Linked DNA regions of Macaca mulatta. Each later gene encodes a partner of the first gene's protein in a complex. Links are inferred from orthologs where the notes say so. Each region holds a gene or a part of one and is shown in the gene's direction. Other genes may lie near its edges.

Region 1 (4,152 bases):
TGGATCGTTTTGTGGGACACTGCATTCTTAACACTGGCAGACTTGCCCTCTAATAACTGATACTGCTGTCCAAAGGTTTAAATACAACCATCCATGAATGAACAACCCAGATCGTCAGGCTGCTGGAAAAAACAACCCAAAACGTAGACTTTCAAGATGATTCGGTGAAGTTTCCTTTTGATATGGAGAATAGTAATAGGCTAAGAAGTCGTAAACATTTCACTGGATAACTCACTTTTACTTAAAATAGTTGACAATAATAATCTCATTCTTTTATTTAAACTTTTTCCATAGGTGGTTCTCTGAACTAGTTTTAAATTTTTTTATGAAAATGTTTTTAATCGTGTGCTAAAAGATGAAATTCTGAATATTATAATTCTCACTTTTGCTGAGATATTAATGCTAACCAAAGTAGTTCATAAGTAGTCCCTTTACGAGATAGCTTAAATTATGTTCTTTCAAAGTAATACTAAATGAAATTAATCATCAGTGTGTGCCAGGTTCATAAGATGAGAAAGCATATTAAAGGCGAGTAAGTAGTAGTTGATGGGGTGCATGGGGCTATTGCTGGGTGGTGCTGAATATGGACTTGATTGGTGACAAAGCTGTCTGGAACAGCAGTCTTGGGGTGGGAGGCAGGGGTCAAATGGGATCCCTTCATTTATAAGAGCCCTTTTTTTAAGCTTTCAGCAGCGAAATAACCAAAAGGCAGGCATCAGAAAGGAAAAGGAGACAGTACATCATATTAAGTAACAGATTGGGGAGTTGACCCTAAAGTGGGCAGAGAAAGAAGGTGTGCCTCATCTAGCTCTTTCTGGGCAAGCCTTTCTTTAGTCATTACTCTTTAGATGAACTCCCTTATTATGGGTGCTCAGTTTTTTTCATTGGTATGCCTCTATACCATCAAAGCAATCAGTTGATCCATATTTAACATCATTATTTCCCTAATGAATCGAGCTTATTTATTCAGTGTTATTTAGCCTTTTTTCCCCTTTAAGTTTTCTCATTTAATCCTTGAAGGCCTTTAGAAATATAAAAAATAGAATATAATTGTATAAAGACACAGCTAATGGGCTATCGAGAATTTGCAGGGTCCTTTGGAATTGATTACATATTTGATTATTTTGAAATATTTTTCAACAATGGTCCATATATTTTTGTTTTCATTTTAGAACAAAATCCAGTCTCATAGCAGAGGAGAATATAATGTTTACAGCACCTTCCAGAGCCATGAACCAGAGTTTGACTACTTGAAAAGTTTAGAAATAGAAGAAAAGATCAACAAAATTAGGTGGTTACCCCAGAAAAATGCTGCTCAGTTTTTATTGTCTACCAATGGTAAGTATATGTATTTTCTTTCCATGTGCCCACTGTGTGTACTTGTTGCACATAATCCTGTAGACTAGGAGAGGAATCATTTAACAGAGATAATTTTAAAAAGGACTTTTTTTCTATACAGAATATAAACTCTACTTTTTTACTGTTCACTTGCAGTTTTTAGATTCTCTGAAAGATTCTCAGATAGCAATTTTTTGTTTACTACACCCCCAATTTGTAGCGAAAAGAATGGGCTGCTATACCATTGGATTTAGGTCAGGTACTATTTCTGCTATTTCTCAGTCTCCTAATCTTGGGCAGGTTACTAACACTGAATTGAATTTTCCTCAGCAGCGAAGTAGAGATAGTAATTTTTTATTATAGTATTATGAATATTAAGTAACTCTTCACATATGTCGTGAGTGCAAGTGCTCAATAAATGTTAATTTATTCCTCCTTTTTAAGTGTTCCTGAACTCTACACAGAGTATTTCTAACTGCAGATACAAAATAATACTCAAAGGATGGTCTCCATTCAGAGCACTCTTCTTACTTGACTACCTATTAGCATATTGCCTTCTTCCCAGCAATCCACATCGCTGGAAGGAGATTCCTCTCCTACTGTTTTACTTGCCCAGGGAGAGGTTTTTGTTGTTTTTTGAGACAATGTCTGTCGCCTAGGCTGGAGTGCAGTGGTGTAATCACAGCTCACTGCAACCTCGATCTCCCCACCTCAGTCTCCTGAGTAGCTGGGACCCACAGGTGCATGCCACCACACCAGGCTAATTTTTTTAAAACATTTTTTGTAGAGATTGGGTCTCCCGATGTTGCTCAGGCTGGTCTTGAACTCCTGGGCTCAAGCAGTCTGTCCCCCTCCTCAGTCTCCCAAAGTACTGGGATTACAGGTGTGAGCCACCATGCCTGGCCCAAGAAAAGTTAAGTGAGGATTAAAAGTTAGTAATGACTCTACCAGAATTTGAAATCCTTTATGATAAGTTGGGTTCTTTTTCTTTGTTCTTATAAAAAACTTTTCCCATGAATTGTTTGGACTTCGTTGGAGTCTTGAGTCTGAAGGGAATCATTAGAGTGACTGAGGAGATACTTTAGTTTCTTGGTAGCTGTAGTCTATAAAAATGTGTGATTAAAACTTTTTTGAGGTTGGTGCTAGGGTGAGGGGAAACCTCCTCCTATTTTCTCATTCCCTCACTATTAATTTAAAAAGCAAATTTTAACACCTAGACCATAACCATTTGCAGAATATAAACTTAAATGACTTTGGGGATGAAATAGGGGAAGAAATTCAGCACTTCCTCCATCTAATTGATGCCCTTGGTCCACAGTATGAGTTCTTAAAAATGCTGTTCACAAATGTCTGATGCCATCAGTGTTGGCCGCCTCTTGGATGCCCAGTTTTCTGATCATGAAAGCTCTCCCCAGCCAGTCCATTGGGATTCGTACCCTCTGCCTTCTCTCTTTCCACAATAAACTGCATTCCCCTCTCTTGTCCTTATTAGAAGAACAATAAACAGAAGTAACTATTTAAAGCCTGTAACTCAGCAGCATGGGTGGAGGGAACAGTTTACTCCTATCATGTGCTAGCTTCTAGTCTGGGGTCAGTTTTAATTTATATGGTAAACTAAGTTATTTCAAATAGCTTCAAATATTTTGTTCTTTGACATCAGATGATACATAACTAAACCATTTATATAATTTCTACTTATAGAATAAATGTTCCTAGGGAAGTGTGTTGTTAACATTTTATATATTGGAATGTTTCATGGCAGTTTATTTCTTACAGGGCTATGTCAGCTTTTTTATAAAGAGGACTTTTTAAATGTAGGCTGAGGTCAAGAGAATAGTATAGTGAAGCCCTGCATGCTCATCATCCACTTCCGATGCTCCTCAGTTCACGGTCAATTTGTGTCTCAAATCCTTCTCCTCCTTCTTCTCCTCGGTGTTATTTGGAAGCAAATCCCATTTCAACTTGTGTGGATTAAATCTTATTTAAAGACATTAGAGAATGCATTGTAGATTTTTGTCTTTTGTTTCTTAACACTAAGTAAAATACAACTAACTGGGGGCTGCATTTTTTAATGCTAAAAATAGTGCTTAATAATAGGGTCCAATGTGGAAGGATAGAGCAGATTATGACAATCGTAGGAACTGTTGTGTCTGGGTATGATGGGAAAAGGATGGGAGGAGTAGGACTTTAACTATATTTGAAAAACTAGAAGGAAATTTAGAGAAAAATGTCAACATCTGTTGATTCTGAGTGATATCTTTTATATTTTGTGTATTTTTCTCTGTGAGTTTTTTCTTTTCTTTTTTTTTTTTTTTTTTTTTTTTGAGACGGAGTCTTGCTCTGTTGCCCAGGCTGGAGTGCAGTGGCGCGATCTCGGCTCACTGCAAGCTCTGCCTCCCGGGTTCACGCCATTCTCCTGCCTCAGCCTCCCGAGTAGCTGGGACTACAGGCGCCCACAACCGCGCCCGGCTAATTTTTTTTTTTGTATTTTTAGTAGAGACGGGGTTTCACCGTGGTCTCGATCTCCTGACCTTGTGATCCGCCCGCCTCGGCCTCCCAAAGTGCTGGGATTACAGGCGTGAGCCACCGCGCCCGGCCTCTGTGAGTTTTTTCTGTAAGCATAGTACCAGCACCACCCTCCGCTCCGCGTCCCGCACCTCCCCCCTCCACCAGTGTAATGGGGTCTATATAAAAACTACGACTACCAAACTTTCCAGGTTTGATTAACCAAAATTAATCTTATAAAAATCTTTGCATTGGCAATATAAAGTACACTCATAAATAGGATGTGTCTTAACTGCTTGATAAGAAGTT
Region 2 (4,704 bases), on another chromosome or scaffold:
CATGCAGCAAGTGAACGGAGAAGCTGGGATTCCAAGCCAGGAAGCCGGCCTCCACAGCCTGTGCTCTTAGCCATTGCTTTATAGTGACTAACAACTTGCAAAGAAAAAGACAAGATAAAAATTCTTGCATTATTACTTAATATATGCTACTTGGTTTTGTAATTTTTGTGTCATTATTTTATCTCTTTCTCTGCATGGGCTGAAAATTCCTAGAGGGGGGAGGAACTGGGTCTCAGAGCCTGCAGTCTCAGTTACCATCAGTTGTGGGCACAGGTAATGCTACTGAGCCATCACATCTTCTGGAGATTGTCAATTGGTCATGATCAAGCCCACCCTTCACTGGTATTTTTCCTAAATAAATTCATTGCTTGGCCAATCCCTGGGGCAGGATCAGGCCCAGGGTTCCACATGGACTCCAAGAAAGCAGTGCTTAGTTTTCTCATTCAGTTTGTGGCTGAGAAGTTGTCATTTATCGTCTGTACAATAAAGCAGATGTGTATGTGACTTCCCCTTTTCAGCGGTGGAGACACTGAAGCGGTCTGAGGTTATTTACCCAGAGTCCTCAGGCAGGTCTGTGGTGGAGCTTCGGTGGAACTAACTGGAAGTGACTCCATGTTTCCAGTCCAGGACCCTGGGCAACCCTGTGGTAATTGTGCCCTGATATAAGGACCAGTAGATGGACTACATTGTTGACTGACCAGAAAATTCTGGAACTCCCTAGCGCTATATTTTTACCTTGACACAAAATGAAATTATGACATCATCATGGGAACACAGGACTTCTTTCTTTTTATTTTCAGACCTTGCTCGATTTTTCCAAGGGTTGACTGATCAGTCCTTGTAATGGAAAAATGGAAATGGGAAAAAAATCATTGTGGAGAACCTGTAACATCTTCCATTTAACCTATTTGATAACTGGCTTTGTTCCAGAATCTAGAGAACAAAGTGAAAGATGCCGGCTTTAGAGGGCAACCAGTAACTTTGTATCTAGACACAATTCCTTGATAAGAAGCCAAGAACCTAGCCAAAAACTTTTAGAATCCCCTTTTTCTTTGGTGTTAGAACTGACAGCTGCTAAGAGTGTATGTGACTCTAGCGGGGAAAGCGGCTCATCCAAAAATAATGACAGCCAAATACTTTGCAGTAATACTATTTGTTATCCAGGGGTGTCCTCCGCCGCGTATAGCCACCATCTCTATTTTTGCCAGGGTTGAGGGGAATCGCTTACAGGTGTGGCGGGCCTGGAAATGGTGGCGTGGCCGGTTAGGGCGGAGTTGATCAGGAAAAGATCAGGACTTTATGGCAGAACAGAGTCCAACACCGTGCTCGGAAGAAAGTTCGAATATTTTGTTCGCTTTGGTTCCGGCAAGCCATCGCACAAGCCAGAATCTGTAACTCCAAACAGTAGCGCCCTCGAGCACGGTCCCCAACACGGTCCCCAACACTCACTCCCCATCGGCCTGGTCTGCGCCCGCAATCCGTCGCCCCCTTTAAGAGCTTGCTCCGCGGGACTAACGTTCGAACGGGCCTTGGCGCCCCTCCTCGGGCTCCGATTGGCCGTGCGCGGCGCACGAGGGCGCGCCGGCCAGCCGCGGAACGGTTGGCGGCCCTTCGTGATTGGCGGTCGAGGAGTCTATATAAGGCGCGGGGCGGCCGGGCTGCCCTGTTTAGCTACCGGACCCGAAACGGGGTAGTTGTCTGGTGTAGAGAGGTCTGCGGGGCAGTGAGCGCGCGTCACCGGAGTCATTTCTCTTCGGAGTCTTAGGTGATCAAGGGTGTGCCCACGGGGCGGACTTGTTTGCGCCTCCCGTTCCCTCCCAGTTTCCGAACGTAACACCCCGGCGCCGACGGCCCTGTGCAGGGGAGGCAGGATGGAGTTCAAGCTGGAGGCTCACCGAATCGTCAGCATCTCCCTGGGCAAGATCTACAACTCGCGGGTCCAGCGCGGCGGCATCAAGCTGCATAAGAACCTCCTGGTCTCGCTGGTGCTGCGCAGCGCCCGCCAGGTCTACCTGAGCGACCCGTGCCCCGGCCTCTACCTGGCCGGTCCCGCTGGGATCCCGGCGCCGCCACCGCAGCAGCAGCCCGGGGAGCCGGCGGCCGGGCCACCCGCCGGCTGGGGAGAGCCGCCCCCGCCCGTCGCCCGTGCCTCTTGGCCGGAGACCGAGCCGCAACCGGAGCGCCCTTCCGTCTCACACGCGCCGCGGGTAGGGGACGAGGTGCCAGTGACCACGGTGACCGGAGTCGGGGACGTTCTTCAGGGCGGAGAGGCGGACGCGACGGAAGCTGCCTGGAGCCGCGTGGAGCGGCCGCGCCAGGCGGCGGCCGGAGAAGCCGAGGGTCCCGCCGGAGGCTGGGGCGTCTTCCCCGAGGGATCGCTTGCCGCGCGCCGCCCCTGCGGCTGCCCCCTAGGCGGGGAGGACCCGCCGGGTACACCGGCCGCGACCCCCCGCACTGCCTGCTGCTGCGCGCCGCGACCAGCCGAGGACGAGCCCCCCGCGCAGCCCGCAGTGTGCCCCAGGAAGCGCGGCGCGGCGGGGGTGGGCGGCGGCCCAGCGGGCTGCCCGGCGCCCGGCTCGACCCCGCTCAAGAAGCCCCGCCGGAACTTAGAGCAGCCGCCGAGTGGAGGAGAGGACGACGACGCGGAGGAGATGGAGACCGGGAACGTGGCTAACCTCATCAGCATCTTCGGTTCCAGTTTCTCGGGACTCCTACGGAAAAGCCCCGGGGGCGGCAGGGAGGAAGAGGAGGGAGAGGAGAGCGGCCCGGAAGCCGCCGAGCCCGGGCAGATCTGCTGCGATAAGCCGGTGCTGAGAGACATGAACCCCTGGAGCACAGCCATCGTGGCCTTCTGAGCCCTTGGCCCCCATGCGGGGAGGAGGTTGAGCAGCGGGCGTCCTCGAAGTGAGGGTCGGGCCCTTGCTGGCTGCGAGGACGCCCAGAGACCGCGGCCGCTGAGCGCGTTGGGCAGACTGGTTGCCGCTGGGCATCGCAAACTGCCCCCGGGCGCATCTGGCTTTTCTGGAGACCTGGGAGCTTGAGGCTCATTGGAAGAGGACGATCTTTAACTTTTTGTGTTTGTGTATGTCTGTGTATGTAAGTTTGTCTTGTGGCATTAAGACTATTTTGTTCTGGAATGCACCACTCCTTCCCCAGGGCTTAAGAGATTGGGGGCAGACAGGGACTTTCCTCTGCCGGCTGCGTGGAGAAGGAAGCGGCTAAAAGGTTTGGGCCGGGGAGTTCCCCATTCGTTCTCCGGGGAGGGAGGGACTTTACACCCACCCCTCACCGGAAAGCTAGACCCGCTTCAGGGCCAGGAGTGGCGTTTCCGCACAGGATTTCCTAAGACGAGAGGGATTTAGGCAGCAGCACAGACTTGGATTCCTTCTGTCCCTCCCCACCTTTCTCTCCCAATGAAGAAACGTTTATATCCTGTGATTACTCTAGGAAAGGGGCATATTAACCGTCCTTTGCTTCCCCGCAGGGGAGAAAAAGCTTGAACTTCACAGAAGAGTTCAAGCTTGGAAATAATGGAGTTTATAGAGAAAAGATATATTTTTAAAAGCTCTAGGTCAGAACTACTACACAGTGCTTTTAAAAAGTGTTTAATGAAAGTTTACAGACAGAAGCCCGAAGTGGAAAGACCTTATGGTTTTGTAGATATGGTGACTCCAGTCTTTGTTATATAAAGGTTGGGGGAGCTGATAAGGTTTTTGTACAGTATTTTCTCCTTCGTTGTATTGATTTTTGTATAAAAATGTAACTTCTACGTGTCTAACACGTATTAAATATTTTGAAGCAACGTAACTGCCTGCTTGTCTGCAATAACCTGCCTGGGTTGGGAGGGAAGTGGGAGGAGGGAAACCAGGGCCTGGGCTAGAAAATTGAAGGTGTGGTTCTTAATATCAGTCATTCGCAGACTGAGAACATTGTTTACTGACTCCACTAAGTATCAAGAGAGACACGTTTAATTTTTCCTCCTAGATCAGAGGAATGCTATTAGATACTAATATCAGCGACCTGCCAGGTTCTTGAAACCTACCGCTACAACTGGCTTTTCTAAGGTCGGTTTAGACCAATTTGTCACCCAATATGTGGGTATATATTATTAAGTAATTTAACCATCAGCTTTTGAAGCCCTGCTTATCTGCAAAAATGTTTTTCAGCAAAACTTTGTTTCCTGTTAAGCTGTTAATATGGGTCATCTTTTAGCTTTGTAATTGAAAAAAAAAAAGTTTAGATAGTTTACCTTAAAAGCCCATTCGAACTGACATAGGAAGATGAAAGAGACTGACTTGTCCAAATTGTCAGGTCCACCTCTGCATTACAGTGGATGTCAGGATGTAAATTTTCCATTTTTCTCTTATATCTAGAAAGTAAATGTATTGGTGAGAGGGAAATTGCTTGCATCAAACCAGATAAGGAAGGAGGGCTGGGCAACTTTAATTCTCATTTAGCAAAACTTCCTGATTTGTTTTGTTACTCAAATGGTGACATCAGTGTTTGGTCATGGTAGACACTTAGATGATGATAGCCAAAACATGCATCGATTTTACTAAAATCACTGCCATTAAGAGCTGTTTGTCTCTTCATGTTCAGTGTTTGAAAGGTATTCAATAATCTATTTCAGAAGCAAATCAATTAGGGAATGGTGTTTAAAATACAGTACAGTTGCCAGGACTTTAAAAGGTGGTGCTGGTTTCT
Region 3 (4,865 bases), on another chromosome or scaffold:
TTTTTTTTTTTTTTAGTAGAAATGGGGTTTTTCCATATTGGCCAGGCTGGCCTGGAACTCCTGACCTCAAGTGGTTCGCCTGCCTTGGCCTCCCAAAGTGTTGGGATTTCAAGAATGAGCCACTGTGCCTGGTCTGAAGGGGGGCTTCTCAGCTGTTGACCTTATGCTGGAACTCAGTACAGAGACTATTTCGTCTAATTAATATTCCTGTTTAAATTTTTTTAGACCAACCTTATACTGACAGTATGGGGTTGCATCGACATCTTAAATCAGTAATTGCTAAGCTCTAATCTGAATTGTTCTTTGTTTTTTACTTATAGCAAAAATATTTTGATTCTGGGGATTACAACATGGCTAAAGCAAAAATGAAGAACAAGCAACTTCCTGCTGCAGCTCCAGATAAGACGGAGGTCACTGGTGACCACATTCCCACTCCACAGGACCTTCCTCAACGGAAACCATCCCTTGTTGCTAGCAAGCTGGCTGGCTGATTAAAAGGCTGAACTGCATGAATCTGCTAATTCCCATTATTTCTCCTTAATATGTTACTTATCTACTTTTTATTTCCTTTCATTCACTAAGTCATTTGAGACTGACAGCTTTGCAGGTAGCAGTAGTGTGTGCTGCTATTGTAGAATATACATGTGTAGAGTTTTTGATTAGTTTAACAGTGCACTGGTGAAGAGGACATGTTAGAGCAACATAAGTAAACTACTTGAAAAAAATTGTATATATTACCTAACTCCTAGTGTAGTACTGGTTCTAACAAGTAACAAGCAAGTTTTAAAATTTTAATGTTTTGGCTTTCATTACTTCATCTTAATTATAGCTTTGTATGTTACTCTTATTTAATATAATCTCTATTGTATTGATTTCTTCCGTATTTACCTTTTGGATTTTGTAAAACAGAAGTTTAAGACCACAAGTTAGAAGAAAGGTCACATATTTCAAACACAACTAGATGGGGCTCTGAAAGATTTGTATCTCTGTGCTTGAACTTGAATGGCCTTAAACCTGTTTCAGCTTTAACAGTAGAATTTTACTTGGGCAATATTTGCCCATTCTGGTGTAACTTATGTGACTCTAGTGCTTAACAGCTGCCATTGAAGCTAATAATTCATTTCTGTAGAGTTAGAATACCTTTTGTTGTTGAAGATGTGAATGAAGTATGCATGTGCATTGACTGTTGAATTCACTTTTGTGCCATTTTTGTAAATACAGTAGTTTTGCACAACCTCTCACAAATGTCTGTATTAATTTCACATACTTAAAAAGTAGATAATGTGCCAACCAGAAGCACAAGAGTTCCTACACAAAACTCTGTAAATCATCATAGCTTTTGTATAATGAGTAGTTTACAATCTCGGGCTTATAGAATACCAAACTGAAATCTTAGTTCAATCTGCCATAGACTTAAGCTTTTCATTTGTTACTAATATCCATGACATTCAGTGGCCTTGTGCAAATACGATATGTTGCTTAGGCATATCTTTTGTCCTATGCAGAACCTTTCATTTTGATTTTTATGAAAGTTGCAATTCATGTAATTTATATGAACTTTTTAAATGTAGAAACTTTTTACTTCCGCACTCAATTTTGGAGACACTAGAGTAAAAGGCTTCAGTACTCTGCATTCCATGCCCCCTGCTACCTGTTTTTCCCCCTTTGTTCTTTGACTCAAATGGTATTGAGCTGTTTGTTGTATATGGAAGCATAGGTGTCTATATCCTTACTCTTTTATGTAACACAATAATGGCATTTTCCTTCTAATTTCTCAGTTGTTAACCTCTCTCTCTCTTTTTTTTTTTTTTTAAGATAGGGTCTTGCTGTGTCACCTCAGCTCTAGTGCAGTACTGCAATCATAGCTCACTGCAACCTTACTCCTAGGCTCAAGTTAACTATTCTTGATCCTGTATTATTACTAATATTCTACAATTGTTTAAATAAAAGGAACTTCATAATGAAACAGTTCGGAATACTGGCTCAAGAACCTATGTCAAAATGAGCTGAATTTTGGTAAATTATTTTAGGAATTATGACAAGCTAATTGAATTAGGCTTTTGACAATGAGAGTAATTTACATGACAGGTAAAACTCCTATTAAAAATGTTTAGATATTTGCTTCTGTAGATGTCACTTTAGTAAAATACCAATTTAGTTTTACTTGTGGCTTATCTAGTTAGTAAGACCTTAACAGACTTTATTGGGACAAGTTTACTGCTCTTGTAGGAGCTCCTCTCACAAGTAGTTGTAATGCTGTAGCATGATACTCAGGATCAGCAGCTTGAGATGTTACTGTTTTTCTCTTCGTCTTCGACTTGCAGAGAGCCTCCCCTTTTTGGATCCAGGCATCTTTTCTGAATCCTGGTTCCATCAGTATACCTGCTCTCCTGTGATCTCAAATCATACTCAATGGTGCCTCGAACATAGCACCTTCGGTTAAAGGCTGCCTAGTGCTCTGAGGAAAGCTTGCTGATTATCTTCCTTGCTGATTATCTTCACCCCAAAAGGCAGAAAAGCAACACAGTCACTCCTGTGCTCATTTGTAATTGTAAAGATCAGCTATATATATATTTGTAACGAGAGCAAGTATATACTCATTATAGGATCAATTTAAGAAGTTTAAAATATCCCAGAGTAGAATTTCTATATCTAGTCTTTTGGTTTTTTCATGAATATTTGCGAGTAATTACCATTAAATTCACACATGAAAGACTAATCTGAAAGATCAGATAGACCGTGTTATTCCTGACCATGATAGAACTGCTCCTGTGGTTCGGGACAAGTAACAAAACAACTGCTTGAGTTTTGTTTGTAAAATACACTATTAATATTTGACCTACCTCAAAACGTATTGAGGATCTGTGAAATGCTAAGTGCCCAAAATAAAATATTGCTGATTGTCTTTTTATTAAAAGTAAATTTCCTCATTAAGCCAACCTGCCTTCTGTAAGTCACAGTGCTTAAATCTCAGGACTTTTCATTAGGAGAGACCTGTCGTTACGGATTTGTAGATATAATTGCTTAGCCTCCATTATTGGTGCTTGGGATAGAGAGGTTTTAGATTTTTCTGTTTTTTTGTTCTGCCTCAAAGCTCAGTTTATTGAAGACATTTGTAAGCTATTGTGTCACCACTTCAATCAAGATTTTGACTAGTGAGCTTAATTGTCCATTTCTTATTATTTCAAAGTTACAGTCTGAGAAATGGCTAATCTTAATAACTGTCCTATCATAAATTAATGTTGGAATAAACTGAAGTTGATGATAAATACTTCATGAAAACTCAAGTCTGAAATAAATTACTTGTTTTATGTCCAATAGCTACTACATTTGATAGAACAGTTTTGAGGAACATTTCATTCTTGAACGCAACATCTGACATGGTTCTCAGCAAATTGGAATAGTAAGGATTATTGGGTTGTTTTGATGAGTGGAAGCAGCATGTTTGTAGCATACAAGTTATTCAATAATCTTGTGCTGATGACCTAAAAATATGTCTTAACCATCTAGGAAAGCCTGGTGAAGCCTTTACTTGTTACTACTTCAACAGTTGGAATTAGTTGCTCTTTTTACTTGATGAAACAAAACTATACCTCTGAATATTTATGGATACTTTTTACTAAATCAGGTTTGTGTTCTTAATCCAAATTACTAAAGTTTTATGGAAGCTGAAATGTAATACAGTAGTATCCCCTTATCTGCAAGAGATACATTCCAAGACCCCTAGTGGATGCCTGAAACCTCAGATAGTACTGAACCCTTTATCGACTATGTTTTTCAATCTGACAACCAAGGTGGCTACTAAGCGACTAAGGGGCAGGTAGTATACAGTGTGGATAAGCAGGACAAAGGGATGATTCACATCGCAGGCAGGACAGAGCAAGAGATCATGAGATTTCATCACTCGGGATGACTTGTGATTTATTTTATTCTTTTCTGAGATGGAGTCTCACTCTGTTGCCTAGGCTGGAGTGCAGTGGTGCAATCTCAGCTCACTGCAACCTCCACCTCCTGAGTTCAAGCAATTCTCCTGCCTCAGTCTCCCAAGTAGCTGGGATTACAGGCGCCTGCTACCATGCCCAGCTAATTTTTGTATTTTTAGCAGAGATGGGGTTTCACCATGTTGGCCAGGCTGGTCTCGAACTCCTGACCTCAGGTGATCCACCCGCCTTGGCCTCCCAAAGTGCTGGGATTATAGGCGTGTGCCACAGTGCCCAGCCAGCTTGTGATTTAATACATGAATTGTTTATTTCTGGAATTTTCCACATATTTTTGGACCAAGGTTGCCTCGGGTAACTACAGAAAGTGAAATTGCAGATAAAGGGTATTACTGCTCCTGTGCTCTAAAATTGGTGTTTGGGTGATCAGGAGCAGGTAGCCAATGGGAAGAGCACTTCTGAGTGATACCTAAAGCAGTTTCTTTGGTGGCCTTTTCACATTCTCCAATGTTCAAGCATATTTTCCATTTTCTCTTTCACCTCATTTTGCCTCGCCATCCCCCATCCCTGCTTATTTCTTAAGCCCATCGATGGCACTCATTAAATTGTGTTTAGGGCTAATGAACCATTGTTCCTTAATATTGTTTTCAATATGCCACAATTTAGGACACATTTAAAATTTTCTAGAACAATAACCTAATCAATATTGACTAATTTGAGCCACATTCCCAACTCAAACTCAGCACACACTGCCAGTCTTCCCCAATATCTCCTTTCAATTCCCCATCACACCTTATAAAGTTGGAATCAAAGATATCTCATTCTGTCATTGTTAATCTAAGAATAAAAACACTGACTTGAATACAGTTTTACTAAGTTTCAACCTTCTAAGTAGATAGGCCTCTAGGTATTCTGCAGATCACTGGT
Region 4 (4,815 bases), on another chromosome or scaffold:
ATGTTGGTTCTTTCTACCTTCTGTTCTTCTGCTTCAGATCTCTTAATTTCTACAGCTCTAAATGTGCTCTTTTCCTCTCTCAGTAAATAATACTACCATCTCACCAGTTTAAATAAAACAAGCTATGAGTCCCCTTTGAATAATCTATTTCTTTCACAATCTAAATTTAATCCATCTGCAAATCCTATTGGTTCTAACTCAACACATAGCCTCAGTCTCTCTACTTCTCCCCATTGACACTGCTACAACCCTAGTCCAAGAATCTTACCTGTATTGTTGCCATAGGCCCTGAATTCATCCTTCTGCCTCCACTGTGGTCCTCTTTCAGCCTGTTTTCCACAGAGCCTAAGTGATATTTAAAACATAAACCAGATAATATCATTCCCCTGCTTAAAACCCTCCAGTGGCTTTTCATCATACTCAGAATGAGATCCAACTCTTACCCTCTGCTAACACTCGCCGCTCTTATGCTTCAGCAGCACTGCCCTTCTTTCTTTTTCCGCTTACTCAACAAACTCATGGCTGCCTCGGGCCTTAGCACTTGCTATTCTCTCTGCTTGGAATACTCATTCCCCAGATGTCCACGTGACTTGCTGCTGCTTGTCATTTAGATCTCAGCTCTAATTGTCCGCTGCCTTCTATCAGTAGTGCTCCATCACACCATCTTGTTTTTCCTAAGGCTTTACCACTATCTGAAAATAGCCTGCGTTTATTTCTGTATTTTCCCCTCAGTAAGAATTAAAAGTTCTCAGACTAGGGCCCATTTCCTAGCAGTGTTTGGCACATAGTAAGTATGCTGGAAAAAAAAAAAAAAAACCTTGACTGAATAAATGAACAAATAAACTCACTTTTAATGAGCTATCAAGGTTTCATATTAATTACATGAGCCAAGAATAGTGTTTTTATTTTTAAAATGTGAGGACCTACTGGTTTTCCTTTAATCCTTCATACTTCACACATATGCTTGTGCTGGAACTATGACTGTAAATCAGTATCAGTACCATCCCCGGTTTTGGCTTTTTCCCCTAACCTAAACAGTTCTCATTTACTTTTCTCTCCATCTCCACTTCCACACTGTCACCTTAGTGCAAATTACCATCCTCTCTGGCCTTTTTTCTGTAAGGTTTTAATCTCCCAGTATTTGTTCTCCAGACTGCAGGCCAGTGAGCTTTTCAGTTGCTATTATACCCATGCTTGAAAACCCTTTAAGTTTTCATTGTTCTCAAGATAAAGACCAGAATGTGGTCTGGTCCACCACCTCACGTCACGCCAGCCCTCACTCTCCACTCCAGGCCACACTTTCTCCTCCCCTCCTGGTTCCCGCCTGCCACCTGGCTGGGTCGCCCTTGCTTCCCGCTTCCTGCGAAGTTTTACATCGCACCCATTTCGCCCACTTCTTCGGATTTCAGGACACTGTTCCTTCCTCGAGGAAGCCCTCCCTGATTCGCAAGCGCCACTCCCCGTCATACAGCCCCACATCACCATGGGCCTCTCTTTCAGGGCTTTGTTCGTTTTATAAATATGTACTCCAGAATATGACAATCTTATTGACGTTCGTCAATGCCAGTTTGCGCTCAATAGCTATTTGCTGAAGGAATATACGGACTAGCGGCCCGACTACTCCTCGCCCCTCCCCTACCACTGCCGCGCAGATATTACGCATAAAGCAGGCGCCTCGAGGACGGACATCGCGAGCGCCTGCGCGAAGGGGTACGCATGCGCAGAGGGGCCAGCCCGCTGACAGATTCTCGGTGGCGGCGGCAGCGGCGGCGGCCCTGGACTGCGGGGAATGGGAATCCTAGGTCCCTGACTGAGCACCTCCCCCGCCTCCCTGCCCCCGACATGGCTCAGGAGAAGATGGAGCTAGACCTGGAGCTGCCTCCGGGTACGGGCGGGAGCCCGGCGGAGGGCGGCGGCAGCGGCGGCGGCGGGGGCCTCAGGAGGTCTAACAGCGCCCCCCTGATCCACGGCCTCAGTGACACTTCGCCGGTGTTCCAGGCCGAGGCGCCGAGCGCCAGGCGGAACAGCACAACGTTCCCGAGCCGCCACGGCCTGCTGCTACCGGCCTCCCCTGTCCGCATGCACAGCAGCCGCTTGCACCAGATCAAACAAGAAGAGGGTATGGACTTGATCAACCGAGAGACGGTCCACGAACGGGAGGTGCAGACCGCAATGCAGATAAGCCACTCCTGGGAGGAAAGTTTCAGCCTGAGTGACAACGACGTGGAGAAATCCGCCTCCCCCAAGCGCATCGATTTCATTCCTGTGTCACCGGCACCGTCACCCACTCGGGGAATTGGGAAGCAGTGTTTTTCGCCATCCTTGCAAAGTTTTGTAAGTAGCAACGGATTGCCTCCAAGCCCTATTCCCAGCCCAACGACCCGATTTACCACACGGAGAAGCCAGAGCCCCATCAATTGCATTAGACCAAGTGTTCTTGGACCATTGAAAAGAAAATGTGAAATGGAAACTGATTATCAGCCAAAGAGATTTTTCCAGGGCATCACCAACATGCTTTCTTCTGACGTTGCACAGCTGTCAGATCCTGGTGTGTGTGTATCTTCGGATACCCTTGATGGAAACAGCAGCAGTGCCGGATCTTCTTGTAACTCACCAGCGAAAGTCAGCACTACCACCGACTCTCCTGTGTCACCTGCCCAAGCGGCTTCTCCATTTATTCCACTAGATGAACTTTCGTCTAAGTGATTCACTCATCCTGAGACTTTCTTTTTGCAGTGGAGAGAGAGAATAATCAAGTTGGGGCAAACACTGAACTTTGTCAATTAATTTGAGGCTATTTCCTATTCGACCCCTTTTCTTTTTTGAAATTTCCTGAAATGATGTTATTCTAGAGAACTTCTATGTCAGGTTCCTGCGGATACCTTTGAATTCAGTGTAGTAATATTTTCAGACGTTTCCCCAATAAGTGTGTTGAAGCATACATCTTTACGCTGCTACTATGTCTAAATACATATGTTATCCCTTGATTTTTTTAAATAATTGAGAGCTCTATTTATTTATGGGATTATTAAGTTCTGATGAAAATATAAATGTTGACTTAATCAGCATAGTAAACTGATGTTTAAAATTCCATACTTCATGCCCACACTAATTTTTAATGTTATTTTCAGTGGTTTGCCGATTTCCATTTGATGAAGAACTATACAGCTTAAAAAAAAAATACGTTAGTTATATCAATCTAGTGGTTGTCTGTTTTACCCAGGAATTCTTGGATATTTAGTTTTCTGGGTACCGAAGTGGGTGGGAGGGGGAATGATTAGAGAACAAATTATAAAAGTTTGCAACAAATCCTTTCAAATTAAGTATATAAAAGTAAACTTTTAAGGAAAACATTTTTAATGAGATTTTAATAGTAATTCTAGTCAGTCATACAACTATATTATAGAGAAAATAAAAATTTTCCTTTTTTTTTTTTTTTTTTTAACCAGAAAGTGCATTTGCTTGGGTGCAATCCTAAAGTGAAATGGGACAGTGCCTTGCAGTCTTTGCCCACTGTACATAGGCTAAGGCTAAGCTCTTTGTACTACTGCAAACGTAAAAGTTTTTCAAATGTAGAAAATGTGTGGGAAGGCTTGTTGAACTTTGGCGCGCCCAGGTAAACAATACTCTCTCTCAATTGTTGATATACTTTAAAATATTCAGTTGTGCCTCAGTTCCAAAAATTATTGCCAACCAGGAGCCAGAGCAATTTTTGGCTACTTTTCTGCTCTGCCCATCTGTCACCTTACTGGTTTTCCCTTGTTCAGGAAGGAAGCAGCTGTTTCCTTGCCAACAGGTCCCTTCCTTCATCTCCCACCAAAGTAGGGCACCATTGATTAGACAAAGGTACAGTGTAACTTGGATTTCTGACAGCAACAACAGGACTGAATTGTTTAACCTCTGTGGTTAAAGCTACAGCTTGAGTTGACTGCCTTGGGGATGTCCATTAATTAAGGGGTGATGATTTGCAAGAGAAAATTAGTGGAGAGTCACATAGGTAAATCATTATTTAACTTAGGTTTTGCTAAAGGTAGAATAGTCGAATGTTCTTTTCTTTGCCTTTACAATTAAGACAATAAGAATAACAAAATTTTCTTAATATTCTTCCTTATACCTCATATAGCTTCCTTAACTAGATAGTTTGACAGAAAGAATGGCATACAAAGAGGAAAGGGGAAAAATGACTCAGAACAAGACAAAAGCTCTGACTTTTTAAAGTTATCACTTACAGAGACTAACAATTTTGTGGAATTTTTACGACTATGAAAATAAATGGAACTGGTCAACTCTTGATGGTTGCCTCAAGATGGAGTGAAATTGCATTGAGGGTAAGACTGTGTCCACAGGTTTAAAATTCTCTCTTCTGAGTAATAGTGTTCATGTGCTCCCATTCTCAACCTTGTTCTTCAAATTCAAACTTAAATAGTCTGACTTCTTGTTGGGTAACTTGCCCTGCCTCCAGAGGTATTTAAACTTCATTATCTTCAACACAGAAATTGTTAATCTTCTCACTTCACCTATTCTTGCATTATCTCAATTGATGTCATCACTAATTTCCTAAACTAGAAATCATGGAAGCATCTTTGACTTTTCCTTTTCTCTGTTGGATTAGCTTAATCACCAAGTCCTGTCAACTTCTGAAATGAATCTCAAATTTCTTCCCTTCTCTATCTGTTGCCCCTGATTTTGCCTTAAGTTTTTGCCTGAGTGATCTCCCAGGCTGTTTTCTGTCTCCTTTTGGTTCAGTCTTTATACTGCCTCTTGAGAAATCTTTCTAAAATTTAAACTTGATATTTTTCACCCTCTTGCTTGAAA
Region 5 (4,152 bases), on another chromosome or scaffold:
CTACAGGCGCATGCCACCATACCTGGCTAATTTTTATATTTTTAGGAGCTACTCAGGAGGCTGAAGTGGGGTTTTGCCATGTTGGCCAGACTAGTCTCCAACTCCTGGCCTCAAGTGATCAGAGCATGTTGGCCTCCCAAAGTGCTGGATTATAGGAGTGAGCTGCTGCACCTGGCCCCAGAAATCTTTTTTTTTTTTTTTTTTTTGAAGGCAGATTCTTGCTCTGTCACCTAGGATGGAGTGCAGTGGCACAATCTGGGCTTACTGCAACACCTCTGCCTCCTGGGTTCAAGCAATTCTAGTGCCTCAGCCTCCCGAATAGCTCGGATTACAGGCATGTGCCACCACGCCCAGCTAATTTTTGCATTTTTAGTGGAGACAGAGTGTCACCATGCTGGCCACGCTGGTCTCAAACTCCTGACCTCAGGTGATCCACCCACCTCGGCCTCCCAAAGTGCTGGGATTACAAGTGTGAGCCACCACACCCGGCCAGAATTCTTAATACTAGTTATAGGACTTCCTGAAAGATCCAGGAAAATAGGCAGGGCATAGTGGCTCACACCTATAATCCCAGCACTTTGGGAGGCCGAGGTGGGTGGATCACCTGAGGTCAGGAGTTGGAGACCAGCCTGGCCAAGATGGTCATCTCTATTAAAAATACAAAATTAGCTGGGCGTGGTGGCACATGCCTGTAATCTCAGCTACTTGGGAGGTTGAGGCAGGAGAATCGCTTGAACCTGGGAGGCAGAGGTTGCAGTGAGCCTAGATTGCACCATCTTACTCTAGCCTGGGCAACAAGAGCGAGAGATACTTCATCTCAAAAAAAAAAAAAAGATCCAAGAAAATAAATTCTACTTTATCTGTTGTTGTTGTAAAAAAAAAAAAAAAGAAGTAACAGATCTTTTTTTTTTTTTGCTTTTCTCAACCATAAATGAGCTTTTATAGTATAACTGATTCCTAACTAGGAGATATCATAAGAATAAAAATGGCCGGGCGCGGTGGCTCAAGCCTGTAATCCCAGCACTTTGGGAGGCCGAGACGGGCGGATCACAAGGTCAGGAGATCGAGACCATCCTGGTTAACACGGTGAAACCCCGTCTCTACTAAAAAATACAAAAAAAACCTAGCCGGGCGAGGTGGTGGGTGCCTGTAGTCCCAGCTACTCGGGAGGCTGAGGCAGGAGAATGGCATAAACCCGGGAGGCGGAGCTTGCAGTGAGCCGAGATCCGATCACTGTACTCCAGCCTGGGCGACAGAGCTAGACTCCGTCTCAAACAAAAAAAAAAAAAAAAAAAAAGAATAAAAATATGGGATTCAAAAACAAAGAAAAACTTTTATCTAAAAAATCTGACTTTTGGGTTATTTTAGATGGATGCTCCACCACTCTCTCCTTTTCCACATATTAAACAACAGCCAGGCTCACCACGCCGCATTTCCCAACAGCACTCCATTTATATTTCCCCACACAAGAATGGGTCAGGCCTTACACCAAGAAGCACTCTGCTGTACAAGTTCAATGGCAGCCCTTCTAAGGTAAGGTGAATAGGCTAAAAGCTGGATTTCACATTAACAGTCAGTAACTGTTAATCTTGCCTCTTTTTTTGTTTTTGGCCAAGTTTCTACTATACTAATAAAATATGAAATGTTAACTATGGCATGTCTCCTCTCATCAAGAGCAGTATATTCAGTTTGAGGTAGTTTAATCCATTATTATTGACATGGTATTTGTGGAGTTCATTTTGAAAGTCCAGCATGTTTTCCTGTTCAAGCAAGATCTTGAGAAGGGACCAGTAAAGCAACATCTGCAAGTGGTCAGACCTGGGGGATGTCAAGTTGAAAGAAAGGCATTGGAAGTGAAAGTGCATTTGGTAGATGGCACCCAAGATAGGAAGACGTCTGAAAACACAAGCCTCCTCTTATGTACATAGACAACTCTGTGATCATCTCCATCCTTATCCTTGTTGAGTGGTGAAGATGTGATATGGACATGATTGCTGTTTTCAGATACTTCATGGACTGTCAAGCAGATCTGTTCAGTATGTCTCCAGAAGTCAGAATCAGTATAAACTGGAAGAAATTGTAGTGGGGCATATTGTAATTCAGTCCAAATACATTGGCTCCTTCTTATTACTTTCCTATTAAGTTATACAGATGCCTACAGAGTTCTCACTATACTTGACAAAGTTGGCTAAGATAATATACCTGACTGGACACAGTGGCTCAAGCCTATAATCCTAGCACTTTGGGAGGCCAAGGCAGGCGGATTGCCTGATCTCAGGAGTTCAAGACCAGCCTGGGCAACATGGCGAAACCCCATCTCTACTAAAAATACAAAAAATTAGCCAGGCATGATGGTCCGCACCTGTAATCTCAGCTACTCTGCTCAGGAGGCTGAGGCAGGAGAATCGCTTGAGCCCAGGAGGCGGAGGTTGCAGTGAGCCGAGATCACCCCTTTTTCACTCCAGCCTGGGCGACAGAAGAAGACTCTGTCTCAAAAAAAAAAAAAAAATTGAAAAGCATTACTCTAAGGAAGAGGATCTCAAACTGTAGGGAGCTTTAAAATCATTGGGAGGGCTTGTTAAAACAGATTAGGGCTGGTCGCAGTGGCTCACGCCTGTAATCCCAGCACTTTGGGAGGCCGAGGCAGGCAGATCACGAGATCAGGAGTTCAAGACCAGCCTGGCCAACATGGCGAAACCCCGTCTCTACTAAAAATACAAAAATTAGCCAGGCATGGTGGTGGGCACCTATAATCCCAGCTACTCAGGAGGCTGAGGCAGGAGAATCGCTTGAACCCAGTAGGCAGAGGTTGCAGTGAGCTGAGATCGTGCCATTGCACTCCAACCTGGGCGACAAGAACAAGACTTCGTCTCAAAAACAAACAAAAAAAAAACAGATAAGGCCAGGCATGGTGGCTCACCCCTGTAATCCCAGCACTTTGGGAGGCCAAGGTTGGGGGATCACTTGAGGCCGGGAGTTCAAGACCAGCCTGGCCAACATGACAAAATCCTGTCTCTACTAAAAATACAAAAAAATAGCCAGGCATGGTGGCATGTGCCTGTAGTCCCAGCTAGGGAGGCTGAGGCAGGAGAATAGCTTGAGCCCAGGAGGCGAAGCTTGCAGTGAGCCAAGATCATGCCCTGCACTCCAGCCTAGGCAACAGAGAGAGAACCTGTCTCAAAAAATAAAAAAATTATAGATGCTTCTTCTGCTTCTGGTCTGGGTACTACACATCGAGAACTACTATTATACAGTGAATTCAGTTGTTTTGGTTTTGTTTTTGAGACAGGGTCTCACTCTGTTTCCCAAGCTGGAGTACAGTGGCATGATCACTGGTTACTGCAGCCGCAACCTCCCCAGGCTCAGGTGATGCTCCTTAGCCTCCCGAGTAGCTGAGACTACAGGCACAGGCCACCACACCTGCCTAATTTTTGTATTTTTTGTAGAGACCAGGTTTGCCATGTTGCCCAGGCTGATCTCAAACTCCTGGGCTCAAGTGATTGAACCATCTTGGCCTCCCAAAATGCTGGTATTACAGGCCACCACACCTGGCCTTAAATCTAATTTTTAAGCCACCTGAAAAGATTAGTTCAAGCCATCCCTTATGAGGTTGTTCTAAGTTTTAAAAAGAATCCTTATCCCAGTGTGAAGATTTGGATAGAGGATAGAACACAGGAAAAAACAATTCACTTGGTTGTTTGCTGCCATTTCCCTTCTCCCTCTTTTACTCACACACGTTCTCTATTTCTGCACAGAGTTTGAAAGAGATCAACAACATGATAAGGCAAGGTGAGCAGAGAACCAAGAAGCGAGTAATAGCCATCGATAGTGATGCAGAATCCCCTGCCAAACGCGTCTGTCAAGAAAATGATGATGTTTTACTGAAACGACTACAGGATGTTGTCAGTGAAAGAGCAAATCATTAATGTTCTTGCTTCTATGATAAAAGCACTTTCAGATTGTTCTGCAGAAAGTTGGAGCTCTGTCCTTCAAACCTTTTAGCCCTATGGATGGTAAATATTGCTGGATTATAAGAAAAAAATTGCACAAAAATGTGCTTTTTAAAATATTTATCCAAAATGTAATTGACAGAGATGTATTTTGAGTTGGACTGGAAAGGAATATTTTAAGTGCCTTTTAAAAATACTAATA

The links.
Region 2: the proteins of PPP2R2A (region 1) and IER5 are in contact, whole or in part, in a cryo-EM structure (PDB 8UO5), measured with the Homo sapiens proteins. The link is inferred for Macaca mulatta from reciprocal best matches to the Homo sapiens genes PPP2R2A and IER5. Residues at the interface, in NP_002708.1 of Homo sapiens: Glu91, Ile92, Glu93, Glu94, Asp116, Tyr178, His179, Asp197, Leu198, Met222, Leu225, Thr226, Glu227, Val228, Thr230, Ser247, Phe280, Phe281, Glu283, Ile284, Ser287, Cys334, Tyr337, Glu338, Asn339, Asp340, Phe343, Lys345; in NP_057629.2 of Homo sapiens: Ala7, Arg9, Ile10, Ile13, Ser14, Lys17, Arg25, Gly26, Lys29, Leu30, His31, Lys32, Leu34, Leu35, Val36, Leu38, Val39, Leu40, Arg41.
Region 3: the proteins of PPP2R2A (region 1) and ARPP19 are in contact, whole or in part, in a cryo-EM structure (PDB 8TTB), measured with the Homo sapiens proteins. The link is inferred for Macaca mulatta from reciprocal best matches to the Homo sapiens genes PPP2R2A and ARPP19. Residues at the interface, in NP_002708.1 of Homo sapiens: Lys18, Gly19, Ala20, Asp23, Asp24, Asp29, Ile31, Thr45, Asp47, Gly49, Arg51, Val53, Phe55, Val73, Thr76, Gln78, Glu81, Pro82, Glu83, Phe84, Leu87, Lys88, Ser89, Glu91, Glu93, Tyr178, His179, Asp197, Leu198, Asn221; in NP_001293124.1 of Homo sapiens: Lys42, Pro43, Gly44, Ser46, Phe48, Leu49, Arg50, Arg52, Leu53, Lys55, Lys58, Tyr59, Phe60, Asp61, Lys75, Pro93, Asp97, Leu98, Pro99, Pro103, Leu105, Val106, Ala107, Ser108, Lys109, Leu110, Ala111.
Region 4: the proteins of PPP2R2A (region 1) and PABIR1 are in contact, whole or in part, in a cryo-EM structure (PDB 8SO0), measured with the Homo sapiens proteins. The link is inferred for Macaca mulatta from reciprocal best matches to the Homo sapiens genes PPP2R2A and PABIR1. Residues at the interface, in NP_002708.1 of Homo sapiens: Phe84, Leu87, Lys88, Ser89, Leu90, Tyr178, His179, Asp197, Met222, Glu223, Leu225, Thr226, Glu227, Val228, Tyr337, Asp340, Phe343; in NP_612206.5 of Homo sapiens: His81, Ser82, Ser83, Arg84, Leu85, Ile88, Lys89, Glu92, Arg99, Glu100, His103.
Region 5: the proteins of PPP2R2A (region 1) and RBL1 are in contact, whole or in part, in a cryo-EM structure (PDB 9C6B), measured with the Homo sapiens proteins. The link is inferred for Macaca mulatta from reciprocal best matches to the Homo sapiens genes PPP2R2A and RBL1. Residues at the interface, in NP_002708.1 of Homo sapiens: Lys88, Tyr178, His179, Asp197, Leu198, Met222, Glu223, Glu224, Leu225, Thr226, Glu227, Val228, Ser247, Arg278, Ser279, Phe280, Phe281, Ser282, Glu283, Ile284, Ser287, Tyr337, Phe343; in NP_002886.2 of Homo sapiens: Ser615, Pro616, Leu617, Met618, His619, Pro620, Arg621, Val622, Val625, Arg626, Ser629, Leu632.

Annotation. Positions count from the first base shown.
Region 1 is NC_133413.1:28,096,340-28,100,491, forward strand, and holds part of PPP2R2A (serine/threonine-protein phosphatase 2A 55 kDa regulatory subunit B alpha isoform), read left to right. Parts: intron 1-1,172; coding exon 1,173-1,338; intron 1,339-4,152. UniProt on the Homo sapiens protein: Substrate-recognition subunit of protein phosphatase 2A (PP2A) that plays a key role in cell cycle by controlling mitosis entry and exit. Involved in chromosome clustering during late mitosis by mediating dephosphorylation of MKI67.
Region 2 is NC_133406.1:38,498,010-38,502,713, forward strand, and holds IER5 (immediate early response gene 5 protein), read left to right. Parts: upstream 1-1,665; 5' UTR 1,666-1,871; coding exon 1,872-2,855; 3' UTR 2,856-3,804; downstream 3,805-4,704. UniProt on the Homo sapiens protein: Plays a role as a transcription factor. Mediates positive transcriptional regulation of several chaperone genes during the heat shock response in a HSF1-dependent manner. Mediates negative transcriptional regulation of CDC25B expression.
Region 3 is NC_133412.1:29,846,846-29,851,710, reverse strand, and holds the end of ARPP19 (cAMP-regulated phosphoprotein 19), read left to right. Parts: intron 1-320; coding exon 321-491; 3' UTR 492-3,982; downstream 3,983-4,865. UniProt on the Homo sapiens protein: Protein phosphatase inhibitor that specifically inhibits protein phosphatase 2A (PP2A) during mitosis. Inhibition of PP2A is enhanced when ARPP19 is phosphorylated.
Region 4 is NC_133420.1:99,818,929-99,823,743, forward strand, and holds the start of PABIR1 (PPP2R1A-PPP2R2A-interacting phosphatase regulator 1), read left to right. Parts: upstream 1-1,712; 5' UTR 1,713-1,716; coding exon 1,717-2,706; 3' UTR 2,707-4,815. UniProt on the Homo sapiens protein: Acts as an inhibitor of serine/threonine-protein phosphatase 2A (PP2A) activity. Inhibits PP2A activity by blocking the substrate binding site on PPP2R2A and the active site of PPP2CA.
Region 5 is NC_133415.1:89,865,023-89,869,174, reverse strand, and holds part of RBL1 (retinoblastoma-like protein 1), read left to right. Parts: intron 1-1,368; coding exon 1,369-1,533; intron 1,534-3,755; coding exon 3,756-3,926; 3' UTR 3,927-4,152. UniProt on the Homo sapiens protein: Key regulator of entry into cell division. Directly involved in heterochromatin formation by maintaining overall chromatin structure and, in particular, that of constitutive heterochromatin by stabilizing histone methylation.